Linked DNA regions of Schizosaccharomyces pombe. The protein of the gene in region 2 interacts with the protein of the main gene of each other region in a pairwise test. Each region holds a gene or a part of one and is shown on either strand. Other genes may lie near its edges. The genes, in order: prp1 and dim1.

Evidence for each region.
Region 1: the proteins of dim1 (region 2) and prp1 interact in a two-hybrid assay, tested with the Schizosaccharomyces pombe proteins (2 studies listed by BioGRID).

Annotation. Positions count from the first base shown.
Region 1 is NC_003423.3:2,636,672-2,646,308, reverse strand, and holds prp1 (U4/U6 x U5 tri-snRNP complex subunit Prp1), read right to left. Parts: upstream 4,389-9,637; 5' UTR 4,320-4,388; coding exon 1,599-4,319; 3' UTR 1,412-1,598; downstream 1-1,411. Other genes in the region: ofd1 (2-oxoglutarate and Fe(2+) dioxygenase domain-containing protein 1), read left to right, coding at 1-1,263; ubiquitin hydrolase Ubp14, read left to right, coding at 6,300-6,395, 6,465-8,696. UniProt on the Schizosaccharomyces pombe protein: Involved in pre-mRNA splicing. Interacts with prp6 and prp13. May also be involved in the regulation of the G0-G1/G2 transition. Required for pre-spliceosome formation, which is the first step of pre-mRNA splicing. This protein is associated with snRNP U5.
Region 2 is NC_003421.2:867,811-880,405, forward strand, and holds dim1 (U4/U6 x U5 tri-snRNP complex subunit Dim1), read right to left. Parts: upstream 10,862-12,595; 5' UTR 10,825-10,861; coding exon 10,790-10,824; intron 10,779-10,789; exon of another isoform or gene 10,740-10,778; coding exon 10,714-10,739; exon of another isoform or gene 10,633-10,713; coding exon 10,592-10,632; exon of another isoform or gene 10,509-10,591; coding exon 10,398-10,508; exon of another isoform or gene 10,345-10,397; coding exon 10,129-10,344; 3' UTR 9,994-10,128; downstream 1-9,993. Other genes in the region: inositol lipid-mediated signaling protein Sfk1, read left to right, coding at 186-1,172; U3 snoRNP-associated protein Utp13, read left to right, coding at 1,891-1,916, 1,954-4,261; SPOM_SPCC16A11.03C (uncharacterized protein), read right to left, coding at 4,538-5,831, 6,140-6,246; sorting nexin Snx12, read left to right, coding at 6,798-9,830; gpi10 (pig-B family GPI synthesis protein), read right to left, coding at 11,837-12,595. UniProt on the Schizosaccharomyces pombe protein: Plays a fundamental role as a protein essential for entry into mitosis (G2/M progression) as well as for chromosome segregation during mitosis. May play a role in mitotic spindle formation and/or function.

The DNA.
Region 1 (9,637 bases), on a different chromosome or scaffold from region 2:
TTGCGTCAAGTTCGTGATGCTCTTTACTCTGAGGAATTTCGCTCTCACGTTCAAAAGATTACCGGCTGTGGCCCTTTATCGGCTAGCAAAAAAGATTTGTCTGTTAATGTTTACTCAAAAGGATGCCATTTGATGAATCATGACGATGTTATTGGTACCAGGTGCATTTCCTATATCTTATACTTGGTAGAACCTGACGAAGGTTGGAAACCCGAATATGGAGGTGCACTCCGGTTGTTTCCTACATTACAACCATCCTTTCCTGCTGCTGATTTTTGTCACTCCATTCCTCCTCAATGGAATCAACTCTCTTTCTTCCGAGTTAAGCCCGGACATTCATTCCATGATGTTGAAGAAGTTTATGTAGATAAACCTCGAATGGCTATTTCCGGCTGGTTTCATTACCCTCAGCCTGGCGAACCTGGTTATGACGCTAATTACTGCGACAATACCGTTTCTACTTTGCAGTCTTTAACAATGAAACAAATGGACTTAGAACTTCCCCGGTTTTCATACTACCCAGTTGTTAAGCCAGAACCTTTATCCAAACAGGATACTGATATTTTAAGCAATTATATTAATCCACTTTACCTGACACCTGATGGCATTGAAAAACTATCAAAACGCTTTTTTCAAGATTCTGTTATTGTTTTAGTAGAGTTTTTAAATCAGGAATTTGCAAACACTCTCCTTAAGCGAATCATCGATGCTGAAAGGCAGCCCACTCCTATGCATTCTTCCGAAGTGTCATTCCCTTGGAAAACTGCCATTCCTCCTCATAAGCACAGGTACCTATATTTAGATCATGAAGAGTTTGGCCCTGATATTATTTTGCCCATGGATTTGCAGCGCCTTCCTGCGTTTCAGCGTTGGATCCAACTTGTCAGTGGCTTACCCCTTCGTTCCTTTCATCAAGTTGGTCGACGATTCCGCCCTGGTTCCGATTTTACGCTTGCTACTACGAATGACACAGCTTTACTAGAAGCTACTCTTTGCTTATCTCCGGGGACAGGCATTGCGAATACTGACAATGGTGCATATGATATTTATATGATTGGCGATGAAGATCCTGATGTAGATGCTGCTGTGTATAGGGGTGATCAGCAAGATGACAGTATTTTGCTTTCTTTGCCAGCCGCTTGGAATGTTTTTTCTTTGGTTTATAGAGATGAAGGTGTCCTTCAATTTGTCAAATATGTGTCGCGTCAAGCCGAATCTAGTCGCTGGGATATATATTCACAATGGAATCCCGTTGCTGAGTAAAGGCAACATATACTTAAAAGGGGTTACTTAATTTTTTTTTCTCTAATTTTTTGTCTTATTTTTGAAAGTTTTTCCCTTGTGTTTTTTAAAACCCACTTTCGTGTTGATAGTGTGTATTACATAAAAAGTTTTGGTTTACACTTTTACTGCTTTCTTAACTGGTATTCTTGTTGATTTAAAGTAAGTGTTCAATCGAACCTGTTTAAAAATCGTTCTTTTTTATTAAAAAGTCCGTAAATTTACAAATATCTAAAGTAAATTCGAATACCAATTTAAACATTAATTTTAAGATAAATAATAGATCCAATATGTTACAGTCATCATTTTTGTCGTAATCATAACACATTTATGGCAAGATGTAATAGTTCCTGCGGAGTTTTCCGAGAATTTTTGATATCTTTAGTAATACTGGGCCAAAAATAACCATGATGAGGATCAGCGGTTTCAAAACTTGTAAGCACTTCTTTCTGTTGGTCTTCGTTCCCAGCCTCTAAGCTATACTTATAAAACCAACACCACACATCTCCGTTATCTTGGTCAGCCTTAACAGCTTTTAAAAACCAACTACGCGCCTTATCTGCTTTTTTTTCCAGCCACAGCATCCTGGCGATGGTGCAAAGTAAATGTGCATTGCCTTCACATTTCCTTAAAGCATCTGTAGCACGAGTTTTACGCTGTGCGCGAGGTTCAAGCCATATAGCCTCCGTCCACAGCAAACCCGAAGATGGGCATTCCTGCAAGGCCTTAGCAAGGGCTGCACGAACTTGTGAAATATTCCCCGCCCGGAGTTCCATTTTTATAAGTTCAAGCCATAAAAATTCATTCTTAGGATTTTTAACCTTAGCCCTATCAAACACAACTCTCGCGCGTATAACGGACTGCTTTTCTTCAAGTTTGGCTAGCAAAAGCCACAAAGGTATGGAATAAGGACAAACTTTTGTGCCAGCCAAGTATGCGTCTCGAGCAAGCTCAATCTGCTCTTTATCTTCAAAAATTTGACCCTTCATCATGTACAACTTATCATAATGGGGATAAATTTTCAGTGCATTTTCCAAAAGTTGTAACGCCCGATCTTTTTCGTCCAAAATTCGTTCAAGCGAAATGGATTTAGTCCATATTCGTTCAGTTCCCGATTCGATACGAGCACGGGCAAGTAGCTTTCTGGCACGTTCATTTTCATTGTTCACAAATTCAATTCTGACAGCAGCAAGCCATATCTCTTCGCTATTAGAATTATATTCAAAAGCTCTCCCAAGAATATTCCGAGCACCAGCAATATCATTAACGTTTTTTCGCTCTTTAGCATAAAGCAACCATAAAATTTCGGCTTTAGGACATGATTCTACAGCTTTTTCTAAAATAGAACAAACACTTTCTGTTGTACCATACAGCTTTTCAAGTTCAACAGCTCTCAGCCAAAGTTTCTCACTTTTTGGATAGACTCTTAAAGAAAAAGCAAAAACAGCACGCGCACAATCTATACATTTACGAGCTATAAAAGATTGAGCATCATCTAACCAGGTGTCGAATTGATCTTCTTCATCCAATCCAACACCGAGGCACGTATTAATTATAGCTTGTGCAGTAATCACTGCCCCTTCAGTTTCGCATTTTTCAGCCTCGGAAAGCCACTGATCGCGTTGTAACATACCACCAGTAGCCTGTAACTCACTTACACCACGAGCCATTATTTTTTCCACCCGTGATACATTACCTTGCTGTTCTTCCAAACGAGCAGCAGCAATCCAAACCTCATGGGAAGTACGGATGGTTTGTCTGGCTTTATTGAGCACCTTTTTAGCATTCTCATAAGTTTCAAGTCGAGCAAGAGCTAACCATAAATCAATGGACATGGGTATTAATTCAACGGCACGAGCTAATAGTATCCTTGCATTATCCACTTCTTCTTCTAAATTTACAGCTTCTTTCCATAAGCTTACAGAAGTCGGGTTAAATTCTAAAGCTTTTTTTATAATCCTTTTTTTGTGCTGAGCTTGATTTTCAAGTTTTTCGGCTTCAAGCCATAACGTCACTGACTTTGGTAATTTTTTAACGGCATTTGCAATAATAACTTTTGCTTCTGCAGCCGGGTGTAGTCGTATTGCTTCTAGCCAAACATCCTCAGAGCGAGAACAATTTTCGCAACCTTTTAAAATTAAAGATTGTGCTTGAGATAATTTATTCGCGACCTCTTCAAGCCGCGCAGCAGCTACCCAGCCAGAGGCGTGCTTTGGATTCGTTTCAATAACACTTTGCAACAATTTTCTAGCTTTTCTTATATCACCCAGGTCATTGGCATTTTTTGGAACCATACTATTCAGACTAGTTAAATACCCCTTCGGATCTATAGTCGATGGTGAAGTCAAATTCGACGAAGCTTGTGCTAACTTGATACCTAAAACTTTGTCACGAGCAGCTCCAATTTCAACAAAATTTGTTTTTGTCCCATTCATATCTGGAGTTTCTGTTCCTGCTTGAGTATCCACTGCAAAATTAGAGATAGCTTGATTTTCATTGCGAGCACTTGCAAGAACAAAATCACTTGTTGCATAAAATCTTTCACGTCTCGGCTGTTTAGTCCTTTTTTTACGAGTTAGATCGCCGGGTTCTGGGATATTATTCCAGTCTTCATCTGTCAAAGTGGATAACCCACGTTTTAAGTCCGCAAATTGTGAAGAAACCTTGGGGTTTTCTTTTTCATATTTTTCTTTCTGTAGCTGTTCTTGTTTTTCACGTTGGGATTTTCTTCTTTTACTTAAATGTTCCTCTACAGATTGATATATTTTATCAGCTTCTTCGTCCTCATGATCATATGGAGCAGTAGCAAACAGCGCTACTTCATTGTCAGGATCCTGATAACGAGGATCGATATCTTCTTCTTCCTCTATTTCTGATTTCCTTTGTTCAATTGCAGCCTTTATAGATTCTTGGGATGGCAATTCTTGAGCAGGCCCAAGATCTGAACGCGTTGTAAATCCTGTTGCACCACGTCCTAAACCTGCTACATAGTTAGGAGGTGGCTGCATATTCAGAAAATCTGGATAAAAGTTTGCCATTCTAATTATCTGCAATTAAATGCAATAAGCCGAGCCTTTCGGCTTTATAAATATCTGGTAGTGGCTTTCAAATTTTAAAAGTAGGCAATACGAAGAAGAGAAATTAACTCCTAGCAGCTTTACTACAACAAAGTTAAAAAGAGCCATTAGGTAAAAGTAAATTTAGAAAAACTTAAGATAGAATATTTCTTAAACAAAATAAATTTCCTACTGTATGTAATGATTTTACAATCAAACGATATATAAATAAGCATTGTGATTGACTTGTTATACACTGAACCGCTAACACACGAGTATTTATGATTTAGCATTTGATAGCCAAATAAATTTATTAGATTTTTTGCAACAATTTTGAAAAAATGCATGAACAGTGTTTTCTTCCTTTCTTTTATTTTCCTACTTTTCTTTGAAGATGAATTTACACTTTGTAAATCAATGTCGTGTAAAGTATGCAGAACGGTTGAAATTACGAAAAATATTGTTCATCACAAGCTTTGTGAGTATTGGAATTAAACAAATCTTAATTGAATCCGAGTGATAACTGGACAGACGTTGCAGCAATATTTTTGCATGGCCACTACGTTTGTCTTTTAATGTCTCGGTATATTATACTGGTGTTTCAAATCAATGCTCATCGTATCTAGTATGAGTGTACCTGGACACATCAGTCAAATTTATTTTCGCTTGTAAATTGTCTTATTCTTTATCATAATGCCAAACCATTGTATTTAGAATTTTATTTGCAAAGTAATTTACCAAAACATATTTAACATCTTAAATAGACATGCTTGAGCTACGTTGATTAAGTGTTTTGATTATAACTGCAGGTTGTGCAAGGCTAATGTAATATCTTTTAGAAGTATATTCGTTGGATTGATAAGTTCTAAGAAATTTATACTGACTCCAGCCATAAGATGCAAGCAAGTCAGTTTCACAAAAAAGAATAAAAGATTCAGATATGTTAGATTAGAATCATCTGCAAAACACTGATATCAAAATATGATAATAATCGGCAATATATATGGCTCGTTTCATTTTTAACTTAGCTTTTCCAGGTTAATTTTGGGTATTAAAATTGTTCTATTTTATTCCATTTATAAATATAGGCATGAATTATGTATGTAGTGTGTAAATAAATTTGGTTTAAAGAAAATACGGCAGCTAATCTAGCTGTATCTTTTTCTCTTTTTTTTTTTTTTTTTTTAATATTATAAATTTCAGGAGTACCTGTGTAAATGATAATGATATATTCAGAATGATATTTTAATAAATACAGCGTATATTAACCATCTGTTTACAACTTGAGTGAGTATAGTAGAATCTGATGTGTGGATTTTCACTTATCATAAAAAAAATTCAAGAAATATTAATTAACTATTGTTATTTTAAGACTGTGTAAATAAGCTGTTTCTACAAATCTCCTGCTTGATAACATTATATATGCCAATGTTATTTACGCTGTCCACTGTTGCGTTAATACATGGATACAGCAATGAGTATTCTATTCGAATATTCAATATAAAAATGCAAGCTTACAGGAAATGATACAAATGTTGTTTTAATAAGCAATATCTAATCAGCAGTATAGGTAGACTCGACAGCATACATCTGCACTCGGAAGTCTAAATATGGTAATAGTTCATGCACAGTATTCTTGGTTTTTAATTTATTTACACAATAAAAAGAATAACCCCAGGATGTTCAATTATTGGACCTCTGGAGTTCTACAAACAAGGAAAATTGAGTTATAATGATATTACTCGTTGCAGTACTGTAACGTACTGCAATTTAGTTTATAATTAAACGAATTAATAAGAGTTTGGTATGCAGGATTAGGAGTATTAATTAAGCCCTCTGTAAAACATGATGGTATTTTAGTTGTAGCGATACGTTAATCAACAAGATGCACGTATATTATTAACTAATGTTAATATTCTGCCTACCTCATGTCCATCCATCCATAAACACCTATAGCAACCCATGTCGTGTCCGCACCTCACAGAGACAAACGTTGTAATCCCAGATAATTCTCAGGTAATATATCGTGAAGAATGCGTCCGTTGCTTTAATTCGCAGGTATGTTTTTTAAATAGCTTGTTTTAAAACATGTACTCAGAGGAGTTCAAATTCGTTAACAAACGTTAGGATGAAGAAGGTGGAATTGATTTATGCTTAACCTGTTTTCAATCTGGATGTGGGGAAACTGGGTTAAAACACTCACTTGTCCATTTTGAACAAACTTTGCACCCAATTGTGGTCACCATTGCCAGGCAACCTAAGCAAAAAATTAATGATGAGCCTCCCCAAAAAATTACGAAACTTGAGATCAGAGAAGATAGTGATGAAGATTTATATGATTATTTTTATGTCCCTAAGTGTTTGGTCTGTAATATAATATTAGATATACAGGATCCCTTACTTTCGTTATCATTAGAGGCAATGAAAAATGCTACCAAGGCATCAAACAAAAGTCAATTAACTGCATGGGAAAATGAATTAACTACTTGTGATCATATAATAAATTTACCAGAAAATGAAACTTACGTCACAAATTTGGACAATGCTACATGTTCAAAATGTGATCTTGCAGAAAATCTATGGATGTGTTTAACATGTGGCGCATTAAGCTGTGGAAGAAAACAGTACGGAGGAGGTGGTGGGAATGGGCACGCCCTTTCTCATTATGATGATACAGGACATCCGCTTGCAGTTAAACTCAAAAGCATTTCACCTGATGGTCAGGCTGATATATATTGTTATAGTTGCGATGAGGAAAGAATTGACCCAAATATAAAGACACATATGCTAAATTTCGGCATCGATATCGCCAAGTTGAACAAAACTGAAAAATCTTTGGCTGAACTACAATTAGAGCAAAATTTAAATTGGGATTTTGGTGCCTCCGAAGAGGATGACGCTTCAAAAAGATTGTTTGGACCAGGATTAACTGGTCTTAAAAATCTTGGTAATAGCTGTTATCTGGCCTCAACTATGCAGTCGTTGTTTTCTATTAAGGAATTTGCTATTCACGAATTAAACCTTTTCAACACTTATAATTCTGTTTGTCAAACCCCCACTACAGATTTGCAATGTCAACTTGGTAAACTAGCTGATGGTTTAGTAAGTGGGAAATTTTCTAAACCTAGCAAAATTGGTTTACTCAATAATCCTTCTTCATCGATTCTTCCTTACCAAGATGGTTTGAGGCCTTTTATGTTCAAAGATGTTGTGGGACAAGGGCATTCTGAATTTGGAACTTCTCAACAGCAAGATGCTTATGAGTTTTTATTGTATTTGCTGGGGAAAATACGGAAATCTAGTATTGCGAAAACTGACATTACTAAGATTTTTGACTTTGAAACGGAGCAAAAATTATCTTGTCTTTCCTGTAAACGCGTTCGCTATTCTTCTTTCTCTTCTCAGGGATTGACTTTGACAGTTCCGCGTGTTAAAATTGGTGAAATTGAGGGTGAGCAAATTTATGAAGAAGTCTCAATAGACCAATGTTTAGATGCAACTATACAACCAGACCAAATGGAGTATACTTGTGAAGCTTGTAAAAGTAAACTAGGAGCTACAACTACTACTGCCATGAAGTCGTTCCCGAAAGTCTTGATCCTACAAGCCAACCGGTTTGATTTACAGGGATATCAAGTTAAGAAATTAAGCATCCCTATAATAGTTAATGAAGACGGAATTTATAATTTCGATCGCTTAATGGCTAAGGACCACCCAAATGACGAAGATTATCTTCCTGAAAAGACAGAGACCATTGAATGGAACCAAAGTGCTATTGAACAGCTTCAAGCTATGGGATTTCCTTTAGTCAGATGCCAACGAGCATTACTCGCTACTGGAAATTCTGATACTGAAACTGCCATGAACTGGCTATTTGAACATATGGAGGACCCTGAAATTGACAAACCTATTGAAGTTTCTGAATTACTGCCCAAAGCAGACTCAAGTGTTTCAGAAGAAAATGTTCAATCATTATGTGAATTCGGCTTTACTGTTGCACAAGCACGAAAAGGATTGCTTGAATCTAACAATAATATTGAGCGCGCAGTTGATTGGATTTTAAATCATCCGGATGAAAGTTTTGAAGAACCACCACTTGAAGGATCAGATTCTTCAATAAAAAATGAAAATATGGGTAGTTGGGAATCGACAAACGTTCCAGTCAACTACAATTTAAAGGCCATAATAAGCCATAAGGGCTCAAGTGCGCATGCCGGTCATTATGTAGCATTTATACGCAAAGAGATAGATGGAAAGCAGCAATGGGTTTTGTTTAATGATGAAAAGGTGCTTCAAGTTGCCTCCTTGGAAGAAGCAAAAACTACCGGATATGTCTATCTTTTTGAAAGGCTAGATTGACATTAATTTATATCATTTTTTTTTTTTTAATAGCAATCATCGGAGCGTCTTATTGAATTTTGGGTTGAGCAGAATTTGGTAGCATACAACAACTAAATTTTTTTAACATTACATTATCAAAGAGACCCGGATTTAAGTCTTTCTTTACAAAATAGACCAACCATTCAGTTTGGCTTTAAAAACTCCTTTGACGCAAAAGTCGTTTTACAGTCATCACTCCCCGAATATTTGAAATAAATAAAAAATATCCTTAATAGCATTTTGAGTTACCTTCTGTGAACGAATTTCGTATTTTAAATTTTGAAAGAGTAGTTTTGATTGTAAGTATCCACGCACCATTCCAATTAAATGCTATATCGTCTCCACGGTCAAGAGTTTCAAAATATGTAAATTTGACCCTAAATACATAAGAGAGCTGACATTCATTTTATTTGAAAATATATCTGAAACCCAATTGTAAGCTACGCAGTTTGGTATCTGATTTAAGGATACGTAGAACTGCGGTGAGTTTTCCTTGTGATCTATTATATTACAATACACAGGTTGTATAAGTAGCAACTGAGTATAGGTATTGTATTAACTGGGTTATAATGTTACCTATCACTAATATAGCTCATAACTGAACTGAGGAACGAGGTTCAGCAGTAGCTCTATTTATAGTATTCAGATAATATTGATCTTAATAGATTATCATTAAGATCAATCTCCATATCGTATCATACATGGTACGATATATAATTAGAACATGTGACATATAGTGATACGCAACGTAGTGTAGTATTGCTGACACCAATGTAATTATAGCATATTTGCAATATTCAATATATTCTGTAATAACGCAGGTGTAAATTGGACTTGCCCTAAATAATTTCTAATTTAACGAAATTTAAAGCACAGTGATAAACAGTTCACGGCTTCAACATGTAATGACATCTATAATT
Region 2 (12,595 bases):
TTTCTTTTCTTTTATATCAAATCACCATATTGATTAAATAATTTCTTTATTTTACTTTTTTTTTTATATTTTTTAAAATATATTCATTGACTGAATATCATTGATTTCTAAAGATTTCCTATTTATTATTTTTATTATTTGATACTTTATCTTTGCGTTAAAAACCAGATCTTTTGGACCCTAAGATGGATAACGATTATACTACTTCTACTACCACTTCCAGAAGACCCAGATTCTGGGGGTTCTTCTTCATACTTTTCCCGCTCGTCAGCTTTTTAATGTGGACAATTGGACTGATTGTCTTGTTGGGTCTGTGGAGCACCCAGGATAAATGGCATACTCCCAGTGAACCTGATCCCGTATATCTTAGTGATATGGGTGCTTACACCAAGGGATTTTTCATACCCATGTGTGTTATCACGGGTGTGTTTTACTTTTTGACGTTTATAATGATTCGTCTTGCTCGACAATGGGGCTGGATATACCCAACGGGTAGAAAAGTTGAAACGTATTTAGGATGGTTTGCGGCACTAACAGGTGCTGCTGCTGCCTCATGTCTGATTTCCCTATCCATTCGTGATGATGTGCACCACGATAATGTTCATTGGAAATTTACAGCAGCGTTTGTTGTCTTGGCATTTGTTTCCGCCGCTAGCAACATTTTTGAATGGCTATCAGCCACTCGCTACTATCCACAGAGCAGCCTTTTAAGGGTTTCATTTATATTCAAGTTTGTCATTATTGTCGTAGGTATCATTTGCGCCATTGCATTCGGTGGTCTTCATCACAATTACCGTGGTCGTTCAGCACGCTTTGAATGGGTTGTGTGTTTTTTATGGTCCATTTACATTTGCTTATTATGTCTTGACCTTGCACCCGCTTTATTTTACGATTCATTAGCCAGTGCCCCCGATCTCGAAAAGGGTGCGTATGCTACATCGGTTCCCGAATCCTATGTGGCTCCCATGGAGCCTCCTGCTGCTGTATTACCGGATGGGGAGGAACGCTATGCTACTCCAGACTTGGTCCCTGATACCACTGCTCAGTATCCGTATGCCAGTGCCACTGAACCCGGTGTGTCAAATATTCCTGAAACCAGACCTGAGCGACCAGTCGTTTACAACATGGACGTATCACAAACGACAACGACTACGAGACCTGTTTTGGCATAGTTACCGGTCCACCTGGCTTGATGAACCTAACAATGGGAAACCCGAAGTATATATATTTTCGAGTTTTATGTACATATACGAACATTTACCCGCCATATATTATAATTTCCGCTAATGTATATTTCATTTGTTTAACGTTATCTAAAAATTTATAATTAAGTTAATCGGATTTGAAGAATTCTGCTTTGGTTGTGTCCATCACACATCCCTTTGGGACCATCCTCAATAAAGCTACGAAAAAAGTGTTCCGTCCTTAAAAAAATTTACTTCTTTCCATTAAAACGAAAAAAGCCTATTTCGTTTCTTTCAATGTTTTCCTTTTAGGAAGGCAAGTATCTGTTTTTCACATATTTTTTTTGCTTCTTTTCTTTGTTGGTTTCTCCAAGATTTAGTCCCCAATTGGAAGTTACGTTAATCAGTTTATAGTCCTTCTTCCTTATTAGAACTAAATAGTTTACAAAATAATTCGCAATGAATCTCCGGGGGTTTTTTCTTTAACTTACCTACTCTTTTACCAACGTAAGTAAAAATTGGTGTAGCAGTTTTAGCATTCTTGTTTTCTATTATGTTATTCCGTTTACTAGCTTGCGAGGAGAAGGAGTATAGTGAGAAATATAAAAGTACGGTAAAAATATATAGCAAAGAACGGTAAATTTGTAGTTGGAACAATTATTTACTTTTTGACTGTAAAAAATGATGCTCTTAACCAAAATCATTCATGGCGCCAATTGGGGAGAAAAAGCGGTATGTAAAAGATTGAAACACATGAACTAATAATTAGCTTTGAGTTAGAAAAAAGCATTGAGCCTATTTACACGGGAGGTCCTGTTGCATTCGACTCTAATGAGAAGATTCTTGTTACTGCTTTAACTGATCGTATAATTGGAACCCGTAGTGAGACTGGAGAGCGTCTTTTTTCTATAAAAAAGGATGAGGACGATTACGTTACAGCCTTGGCGATAACTAGCGATTCAAAAAAACTTATTGCGGCTTTTCGGTCGAGACTACTTACTATTTATGAGATTCCTTCCGGACGGCGTATAAAATCGATGAAAGCTCATGAAACTCCGGTAATTACGATGACAATAGATCCCACTAATACATTGTTAGCTACGGGAGGTGCTGAGGGATTAGTAAAAGTATGGGACATTGCTGGAGCATATGTAACTCATAGTTTTCGGGGTCATGGCGGTGTCATTAGTGCATTATGCTTTGGCAAGCATCAAAATACTTGGGTTTTGGCTTCTGGTGCCGATGATTCTCGAGTCAGATTGTGGGATTTAAACTCTAGTCGATCCATGGCTGTTTTCGAAGGTCATAGCAGTGTTATTCGTGGATTGACATTTGAACCAACTGGTTCATTTCTTCTCAGTGGATCTAGAGATAAAACGGTTCAGGTTTGGAATATTAAGAAGCGTTCTGCAGTCAGAACGATTCCTGTTTTCCATAGCGTCGAGGCCATAGGTTGGGTCAATGGACAGCCTGAAGAAAAAATTTTGTATACAGCTGGTGAAGGTAATCTTATTTTAGCATGGGATTGGAAATCTGGTTCCCGACTTGATCCAGGTGTTGATACTACTCATTCAGAAACGAATGCAATTATACAAGTCGTACCATTTTCTGAAAACACACTTTTGTCTGTACATTCCGATTTAAGTCTCTTGTTGCGTAAGAGAGTTCCTGGCGAAGGCTTTATTACCATTAAAAAACTCAACGGATCTTTTGATGAAGTCATCGATTGTGCTTGGATTGGAGACGATCATTTGGCTGTTTGCAGTAATACCGAGTTTATAGATGTTATTTCCACAGACGGTACACAAGTCTTTGGGGTGCTTGAGGGTCATACTGATATAGTCCTTACTTTGGATTCATCTGAAGATGGTGTTTGGTTGGCAACTGGTGCTAAAGATAATACTGTGCGTCTTTGGAATTTAAACATTGAAGATAATGTTTATAAATGTATTCATGTATTCACTGGTCATACGGCTAGTGTCACGGCTGTCGCTCTGGGACCTTTGGATGTTAATGGTTATCCCACTTTCCTGGCATCTTCCTCTCAAGATAGAACACTTAAACGGTTTAATTTAGGTTCTCAGCTAAATAAGTCCGATTTTTCAAACAGAGCTGTGTGGACTATTAAAGCTCATGATCGTGATGTTAATGCTATTCAAGTTTCAAAGGATGGACGAATTATTGCTTCGGCTAGTCAAGATAAGACTATTAAGCTTTGGGATTCATCTACGGGTGAAGTGGTTGGTGTTCTGCGCGGACATCGTCGGGGTGTGTGGGCCTGTTCATTTAACCCATTTAGTCGTCAACTCGCTAGTGGTAGTGGTGATCGTACAATTCGTATTTGGAATGTCGATACTCAACAGTGTGTGCAAACTTTAGAAGGTCATACAGGTGCAATACTGAAACTGATCTACATTTCTCAAGGAACCCAAGTCGTAAGTGCTGCTGCCGACGGTTTGGTCAAAGTGTGGTCGTTGAGCTCTGGTGAATGTGTTGCTACGCTCGACAATCATGAAGACCGTGTGTGGGCTTTAGCTTCAAGGTTCGACGGGAGTTTGTTGGTTTCTGGAGGTGCAGATGCAGTAGTTAGCGTTTGGAAAGATGTAACTGAAGAATACATTGCCAAACAAGCTGAGGAATTAGAGCGTCGTGTTGAGGCTGAACAGCTCTTATCAAATTTTGAGCAAACAGAAGACTGGCAACAGGCTATTGCTTTAGCTTTGTCATTAGACCGTCCTCATGGACTTTTGCGACTGTTTGAACGAGTTATGACAGCTCCACATCAACCAAATAGCATTACTGGGAATAAAGATGTGGATAATGTTTTGGTTCAGCTTCCGGATCATCAATTAATAATCTTGTTTCAGCGCATTCGTGATTGGAATACTAATAGTAAAACAAGCATGGTTGCTCAAAGATTGCTACGTCTTTTATTACATTCATACTCCCCTGAACACCTTCTCAAATTATCTGGTATTAAAGATATTTTAGATTCTATGATACCGTATACTGATCGTCATCTTGCAAGAGTCAACGATCTCATTGAGGATTCCTATATAGTGGATTATGTTATTTAAAAAAATCTCTTCCTAATTCCCAATTCTGGAATGAAGACTCTTAATTTAAAAATGACCTGTTAAATTTGGGTTTTTTTTACTTGGTTAAAATAATGGATATTTGGTTGTGTATAATTTACTGGATCACTTAATAAAATGTTAGAATCCTTTGAATAATAATTTGTTTAGTGGGTAACTGAAAGAATGATATTTATCCTCATATGTATTTTTTTTTTGTGGAAAAATGAATTACGAGTGATGGAGAAAAGCCGATTTGCAAAAAAAGATGTAATAACGTCAGATTCCTTCAAAGTTGAGAAAGCCGGACATTAAAAGAATCCTATAATACTTCTTCTTAGTAATTTCGTTGGTCCAATTCCATGCACTAGTGAGCCGACCATCAATACAACTTCCACCATCAGATCCCTGACCATTAAAACCATGACGAAAAAAGTCTAACAAAATTGTTTTTTGAAGTCCATTGACGCTTCCATATTCGTTTTCGATATACTGAACCAAGTATGGATCACGTAAAAATTCTAGTTGCTGTAAAACTTTGACCAATGGCGCTAATATGTGAGGTACTTGGCGATATTTGTCAATAAACATCAGGGCATTAGGAACATCCCTATCACCTAAGTGTATTACAGAGCTTCCCATCCAAGGGATTTCTTGTTGCTTCTGAACGGATGATAGAATCCTGGTAACTGTAGATCGAACTAATGGACAAAGCTGAACACGATTTAAACCTTGGCCAGTGTCACTAATGAAGTACCTAGAATGTTTATCGAGTAAAGAAGCGTCGCTCTCTAACCATAAAAGAAACATTTGGTCCATCATACAGGACCAAAACACTAAACTCTGATCAACATAGAAAAATTGAGTTTTATGGTCGTGATTTAATTTGGCACCAGTCATATATCCAATCTTTAAACTACCATTTTTAGTGTCGTGTGGATTAAAAAATTTATGTAAATAGGCACGCATCTTTTCCACAGGATTTCGATTAGCTAAAAGGAAAGCTTCATGATCAGCTAAAGAAGCGAAGCAGTCCGTAAGCACTTTCTGTAATTTTTCATCTTTTCCTGGATTATACTTTTTCAAAAGAGTTTCTGAAGCTTCTTCCCGTTCTTTTAACAGTTCTGCTTTGGCATTGGCATTACTTTGAGGATCGCTCTGTTTTAAAAGATTGTTTAAAAGCTGTTTCTCTTCAAGCAGACCCAAAAGTTTGTGCTTTTCCAAAACATTGTATACAGTTTTTATGGGTGATACGAAATCAAAGCCAAGTTGACTACGAACATCTGGAATTAAACTGTCTTGGCACATATACATAACAGCACCATATGTTGCACGCATTTTCTCGGGATTCATAATTTTGTATCTCCTTCCAATTTCAAAAACGGTTTGAAAAAACCTAGCATTTGATTTGTGGTCTCTTCCAATTAGTAAATCACGTCCTGCTTTAATATCCATTGCAGTGACAAGTCCCATCACTATACTGCACATTTCGTTCAAGTATTTTACCATCAGTTTGGTCCTGGTGGTATAAGAGATAATGTCGACATGGCCCGTATAATCAATTACTTCAAGTCTATAATTTCATTGTTAGTTTTGGTCGATCCACCAAAAACAGATACGATCGTATAATTTTATGTCCCGAGAAACGGGAAAGTGTTCAATAATAATTAAATAATGTAACAGTTCATATACAAGAGAAATAATTTATGCGAACAGTTCTTGTAAAAGTTTCACATAATCGCGCACAATCAAACACTTTGGAAATAACTATTAGAAAAATATTTCTTTATTGGTAATATTTTAAAATAAGGAACCCTTGAACATTCCACATTTCAAACGGGACTCGGCCAACAGGCATTTCCATAAGATGGATTTACTTACGCTGCTTCTAACAAGCTCAAAATTTTTCGTTCCTCATCACTTAATCTTACAGGGACATATTTTGATTTTTCTACCCAACTCTGGTTAAACAATTGAGCTATTGACATTTTGGTGTTGGTCAAGTACTTTCCTAACTTTGCTAACCAATTCTAAACACTTGTTTTGATAAATTCTGACTACAACAGCTCCATTGTCAAGCTTTCATAAAGATTGAATATTTAAGGAAGTAAAGTATTTAATTCCTTGCTATAAATTACATCTTTGGACGATTGATTTCAGTTATTGTACGATAAAATATAAACCAAAGTTTTGAGGTGAAAAGTGGCTATTTCGACTAATTAGTCAACTTGGCTGTTTATTTGGGAGTATCTTGAATAATTGCTCAATTTTCAATAAGTCTCTCTTTTTTTCGTCATTCTGATTACAAAATCTCACGTTTAGGATTTTTTGTGCACTGATCTTTGCTTACCATTTTCCGGTAGTAGAAGATACTTAATTTACATTTTTCTAACAAGGAAGAATAATTATATAAAAAAATTTAAATTATCGTGCACTTTGTTTGCAAAAAAGAACGACTGCCTCAAAATTCTGAAATGTCATTTTTCCAACTAGAAAATCCATAGATAGAAGGACTTGGCTCTTACCATTATAGGACCAAATGTACCAGCAGCATATCTTTTACTTTATCACTGGAGGTATCTTCATCTTATGGATACTTGCTCATAGTTTCTTTGTCAAAATTATCTATTTATGGGCTTCTGGTTGTTTGTTGTGGTACTGTTTGGAGACGAGAACGTTTGAAAATAAAAATAATCTTGGAACATCTGAGCCATTTCTTGTTAACCCAGCTATATTCCAAAAACGAGCGCGTCAATTGGCACTTTCCAAACTTCTTCTTCGTCAGCCATTATATCCAGGAATACCTGAAATTTCTGAAGAGATAGAATCCATTATTTCACATTTTATGCAAAAATATATTAAGGTATGGTCTTATCAAATTATTCCCGAACCGACAATTTCAAACAGTATAGAATCCCATTTGCGAAAATGTCTTATGGTGTTATTAAGTCGAGTTGATGAAATTGATCTTGCTGATGTTTTGGTTAAAACAGTTCTACCACTGATTACAAAACATTTAAGATTATTCGTTGAAGCAGAACAGCTTGTTGTAGGTAATAAGGCAGTATCCTTTACTGACCATTCTGAACTGTCTCGTGAAGTTGCGGCGAAATATGATCATGGGAGATTGCATGAAGCAGTACTTCTTTCTGGAAATCCCATGGTAGCTCAGAAGAGATATTTACGAAATTGGACGACACAAGTTTTGTCTATTATTCTACCGAATTATTATGAAACCAGCCCTCTTGTACTTTCGCTCGTTACAGAGGTTATTATTAATACTACATTATTACCGCTAGTATCTTATATTTCAGATCCTGATTTTTTCAACTATTTAATTATTCAGGCTAGCGGTAGTATAATTCAGCGTCGGCGAAAGATTCGTCGTCTGAAACGTGCCATTCGCAAGCAATCTAATCACTTTCAGGTTGGAGCACGTCGTCTCCGATTAAAAGATAGTCAACACTCTTTTGAACAATATATTCATGAAATTAAAAAAATCTCTAATATTTCAGATGCCCGAAGATTACGTTCTGAACTAATGGTCCAAAGGCGTCAACTTGAACAGACCGAAGCATTTGATTTTGAATTTAAACAATATAGGGAGCGATTACAGATAGCTATAATTACTGCTGAGAAAAGGATTTCCTTACTTTCTGGAACTCCATTTCAGCATAAAGAAGCGGTGCTATTTGAACAAGTGCAATCACTACTTCAAATCCTATCTGACTCGGCGGCGGTTTCCTGTTTTCTCGAATTTATGGAGAGAAAGAACAGATCTCGCTATTTGCATTTTTGGCTTGTAGTTGAAGGCCTAAAAGAATCACAGGATGATCCATTGAATGCGCATATGATTGCGCCGTTTTCCGATATCGTTTCTGACCATACAGACTTTACAGCCATTGTCAAATCATACTTTGAAAGCGTCGATAACCCACTGGACATCCCAAAGCCTCTCACTAATACAATTAATAAATTCGTTAACCAAAGTAAAGATAACTTAAACCCTGATCTATGGGTAGAGGCTAGGAATGCAATGCTTATGGCTCAAGAGCATGTGTTCGATATCATGCAGAACAGTGATTATTCTGAATTCGTTAACAGCGAGATCTATTACAGGTTCCTAGCCCAAGATGTAGTATCTGATCATAAGTCTACCAATTCTTCTGCCACGTTCAGTAGATTAGAAGAGTTGGGCGAGAACATACCAGCGATATCAAAACAACCTTCATATCTTAGTATTTCTTCGTCGTCAAAATCCATCAATTCATCTCCTTCTCCCTCTATTCAGTTATCTGTCTCTTCGTCCATTTCTCGGGATAAAAACCTCTCTCCTTTGGATTTAGAATTGGATGATCCTACCTATAGTGATGAAGAAGAAGTTTTATTTGCTCCACCAGGTGATCTCCAACTTTCTGAAAGTATCGATGAATTAAACAATAACATCGAGGAGTTGAAAGCTCAATTAAACGCTATCAACACTCTTATAAAGAAGGCTGAGCTGGTTGCTGACCAAAAGCAATTGAAAAGCCTTACTAAAAACCATCAAGAGATTGAAAAAGCAATTCACCGCAAAGAACGTCAACGAGATCAGTATATGTCGCAAGAAGAAGACAGTAAACTCTTTAATCGCTCTCGGGTGTCTATTGATTCATTTAAAATTAGCAAAGAGGAGAACACCCCAGACTTTGCTGTTTACACCATACGCATTGAACGACTTGAAAATGGACATGTCCGTTCCGGATGGATGGTGGCTAGACGGTATCGAGAGTTTGCAGAGTTGCATAAGCAGCTAAAGCAAACATACCCTGGAGTCAGATCTTTAAAATTTCCTCAAAAATCGATCATCACCTCTTTAAACAAAAATGTTTTGGAATATCGAAGGGGTGCTTTAGAAGAATATCTTCAATCATTATTCAGAATGCCAGAGGTTTGTGACAGCAAAATGTTGAGGATGTTTTTGTCACAACAAAATATCACAGCACCACAAATGTTTAATCCTAAAGAAGTTGGCAAAAAATGGAAGCAGCTTTTAGAAGTCTTAGGGTTTGAAGTTAATAATTCTTTCAACGCATCCAACGTTAACACTAACTCGTCATTCTCAGGTCCCATCTCGGAATTTTTAGTCGAATTGTTTTCTCCAAATGACGATGCAAAGCAGCAATGGTTACCGAAAAAAACTTATATATCGATATTGGAACAACTTTTTGGCGGAGCTTTGGAAAAGCGTATACGACTACAACTGTTTCAGTTGTTTACGCCTGAGAAGATTTATAGGAAGTTACGCGAGTTTAGACGAGGACTTGAAGGTAAATCTAATCATGATCACTCCAAAGACCGCCGTCATTCACGGGCGCGAAAGCCAGCTTATGCTGATAGGAATCAATTGAAAGCAGAAGCAGGGATTTTGCTTGCTTCCATGTTTCCCGGCTATACACCTGATATTGCTGTGAAAAGAATATTTCGTATTCTCCAAAACCAATCTCTAAACGCTCATGTTATATACACCCTTCTTGACGAGATTTTGCTGGCTTTAAAGAAACACGCTAGATCAACTAATAAGGCAACTTGAGTGTCACTTTTTTACCTCTCTTGTTAAATCATAGCAAGAGTAATCATGTTCATGCTTTTCTTTAATCATATAATGTAATTTCTTCATAGGATTTGATAATACTTTATTACAATTCATCCACTAGATAATTTCAAATCCTGTATTGTTACTGACTTTAAAAGAAGGGTTATACCATTTGAAGTACAAATTATGCGTAAAAATTAAAGCAAAAAGACTTTTTCATTTTAGCCAAAAACTATCAAATTACTATGATTTTTCTATCCCCTCTCCATTTTCTTGCATAAGCAAATGGTGGCTTCTAGTAGCGATGTCGGGTAGAGTAATCTTTTGGAGAAATAACAAGACCTTTACCTTTTCTAGCACCACGAAAAATAGTTTCTATAATATCGATCATCTCTTGTTTATCTTCTAACGGCCAGTTGATTTTGTTATTGTTACCAGTACCTAAGTCAATCATCATGTGTTTGTTTCGATAAAAAAACATTATTGTAGTTCTGTCATAAAGCTCGTACATCTAGATGGTAATAAGGTTAGCAACATGACTTTCCAACTAAGACTTAGACTTACCTTGTTGAAGTCAGGAACTTCGTCAATGTCCACTAAATATATGACAGCCATGTTGACGACCTTTTCAGCAATTCTGTATAGGACTTCATCTTGTTTTATACATTCTTCATCCTATTCCGTTACGCGTTAGTAAATTAATCCGCCTACAATATTAAATAGACTTAATCCAAGTAGATATCGACATTAGAACATACATGATCTCTACCAAATCGAATGACAACCAAGCGCTCTTGTTCTATTTATAAAAAAAAAGGTTAATAAGCTGATTCGAAGTTGTGAAACGAGAAACATTCTACGTTTCTTAAAGTTCGCGTACCTGATAAAATTGCTTGATCAACGTGCCTATAAACATAAGTTAGAGAAGAATAAATCCATCTATCACAAAAACTTACCATCCAGAATGTAAATGAGGTAAAAAATAACTCATTATATCAACTGAAGCTGCTGAATTGCAATATTTTGGTAATTTCTAGCAGACGAGAATAGTGTAGATATGTAAGTCACACAATATACACTTTGCGCGTTAGGATGTAGCAATGCTTTAACTCTACGTAAAAAAGCGTATAATAGTGTAAATGCTATTCAGTAAATAAATTTAGTGAAGTTATGAGATTCTTGACACAAGTGGGATTGCTATTACTTTCGTACATTACATGCTTAGTTGAATCGTTGATGTGTTTACTACAATTATATATATTCATACTTCATCTAATAAAACAATGAAATTCAGAATTTTTTACAATTCTAGAAACCGACCGTTTAAGCAGTTTACTGTGTTTAAAAATTAAAGTATCCGTAATATTCCAAATATTTTGTGAAATACTATTATAAAAAATTTAATTTAGAATCGTAGCTAGGCCGTATAAAATTATTTTTTCAAGTCCCAATCGCAACATAGACGAATGACCTTTGCGTTTTTCTCGACTCCATAGCATAAAATTACAATTGCAAATTCTTTAAGTGACTTGGGTGTTCGCGTTGTAAGCTAACTTTTCTTTTTCAGATTTGTTTGGAGAGTGCAGGATATGCTATAAATTTGTATTTAAGAAAATTTCTGAAAGGTTAAAGTCGCCAAAGGTTGAAAATTTTAAAATGATGTTGATTCATGATAATGGCTTCGGGGAAGATAAGTGTTCCACCCATGTCTTAAGTTTTAATAGTAAATGGCTTAGGATTACTTTATTCGTCTACAAATTGTTGCTTCCTCTTGCTCTGTGAAGACTTGATATGGCCCCCTCTATAATCCACGAACCATAATAGAAATGCAAATCGTTTATAATGGGGAGCTAGAAATCAAGCTGGCGTTTTAGGGATAAACCAAATATTGTCCAAAGCAAGTAATAGTCATCAGTGGTTTCATTTAAAATACATCAATAGTTGTTAAAATGCAGATAATTATGCTGACCTGTGAAATTTTTGGGGTATGAAGAATCATGTAATTAGAGTTTCTTATACACTAACAGAGCTCCAGCTCTCTCTCGACTTTCAGGAATCAAGGAGTTATAATACCTCTGTACTTCTTCATACTTCAACCCTCGGGAGTCAAGATAGCTGTATAAGCTATAAAACCGCTCTTCAAAGAAAATCAGATAATCCGGCCATTCTTTAATTTTATCTAGAAAAGTAGGCATATTCTCGTAAAAACGATCCGTCTCATCAAAGGGCTTTTCGAACGGTTCACATGTCAAGAACTTCCATCCATTTTCAGCAAAAGGTGAATGGATATGCGACTGCCATGGTGTAGTGTGACACGGAGCAAGTATTAGACCAGTTTGGTTTTTTTCAGCAAGTGAATGTATTAATGGCATAACTTCCATGACTCCAAATTGATGAAATCGGCATAAAAATGTAATTACCAGAGCATGTCCCAATCCAATAAGGAAGAAAAACCGTGCTGCACGCTTCCAAGAGGAAAATGATGAAAAAAATTTTCCAGCTAAAGTAAGTAAAATCGGTGAAATTGGGTATACAAACCGAAGTTCTTTATGTCCTATCAGTGAATAGGGAAAGAAAACACAAAGAATGGTTCCCGCTGTTTGAAGGTCCATTGTGAGTAATACGAATGGAAGAAATCCTCCGCATATTAATGGGAGGGCTTGAGAAAGGTAATAGTGCCATGCGTTCAATCCATACAAAGAGGAAAGGCCTGAAGTAACATTAAATTGAAAGAACGAAATGATGGGAAAGACAAAACGACC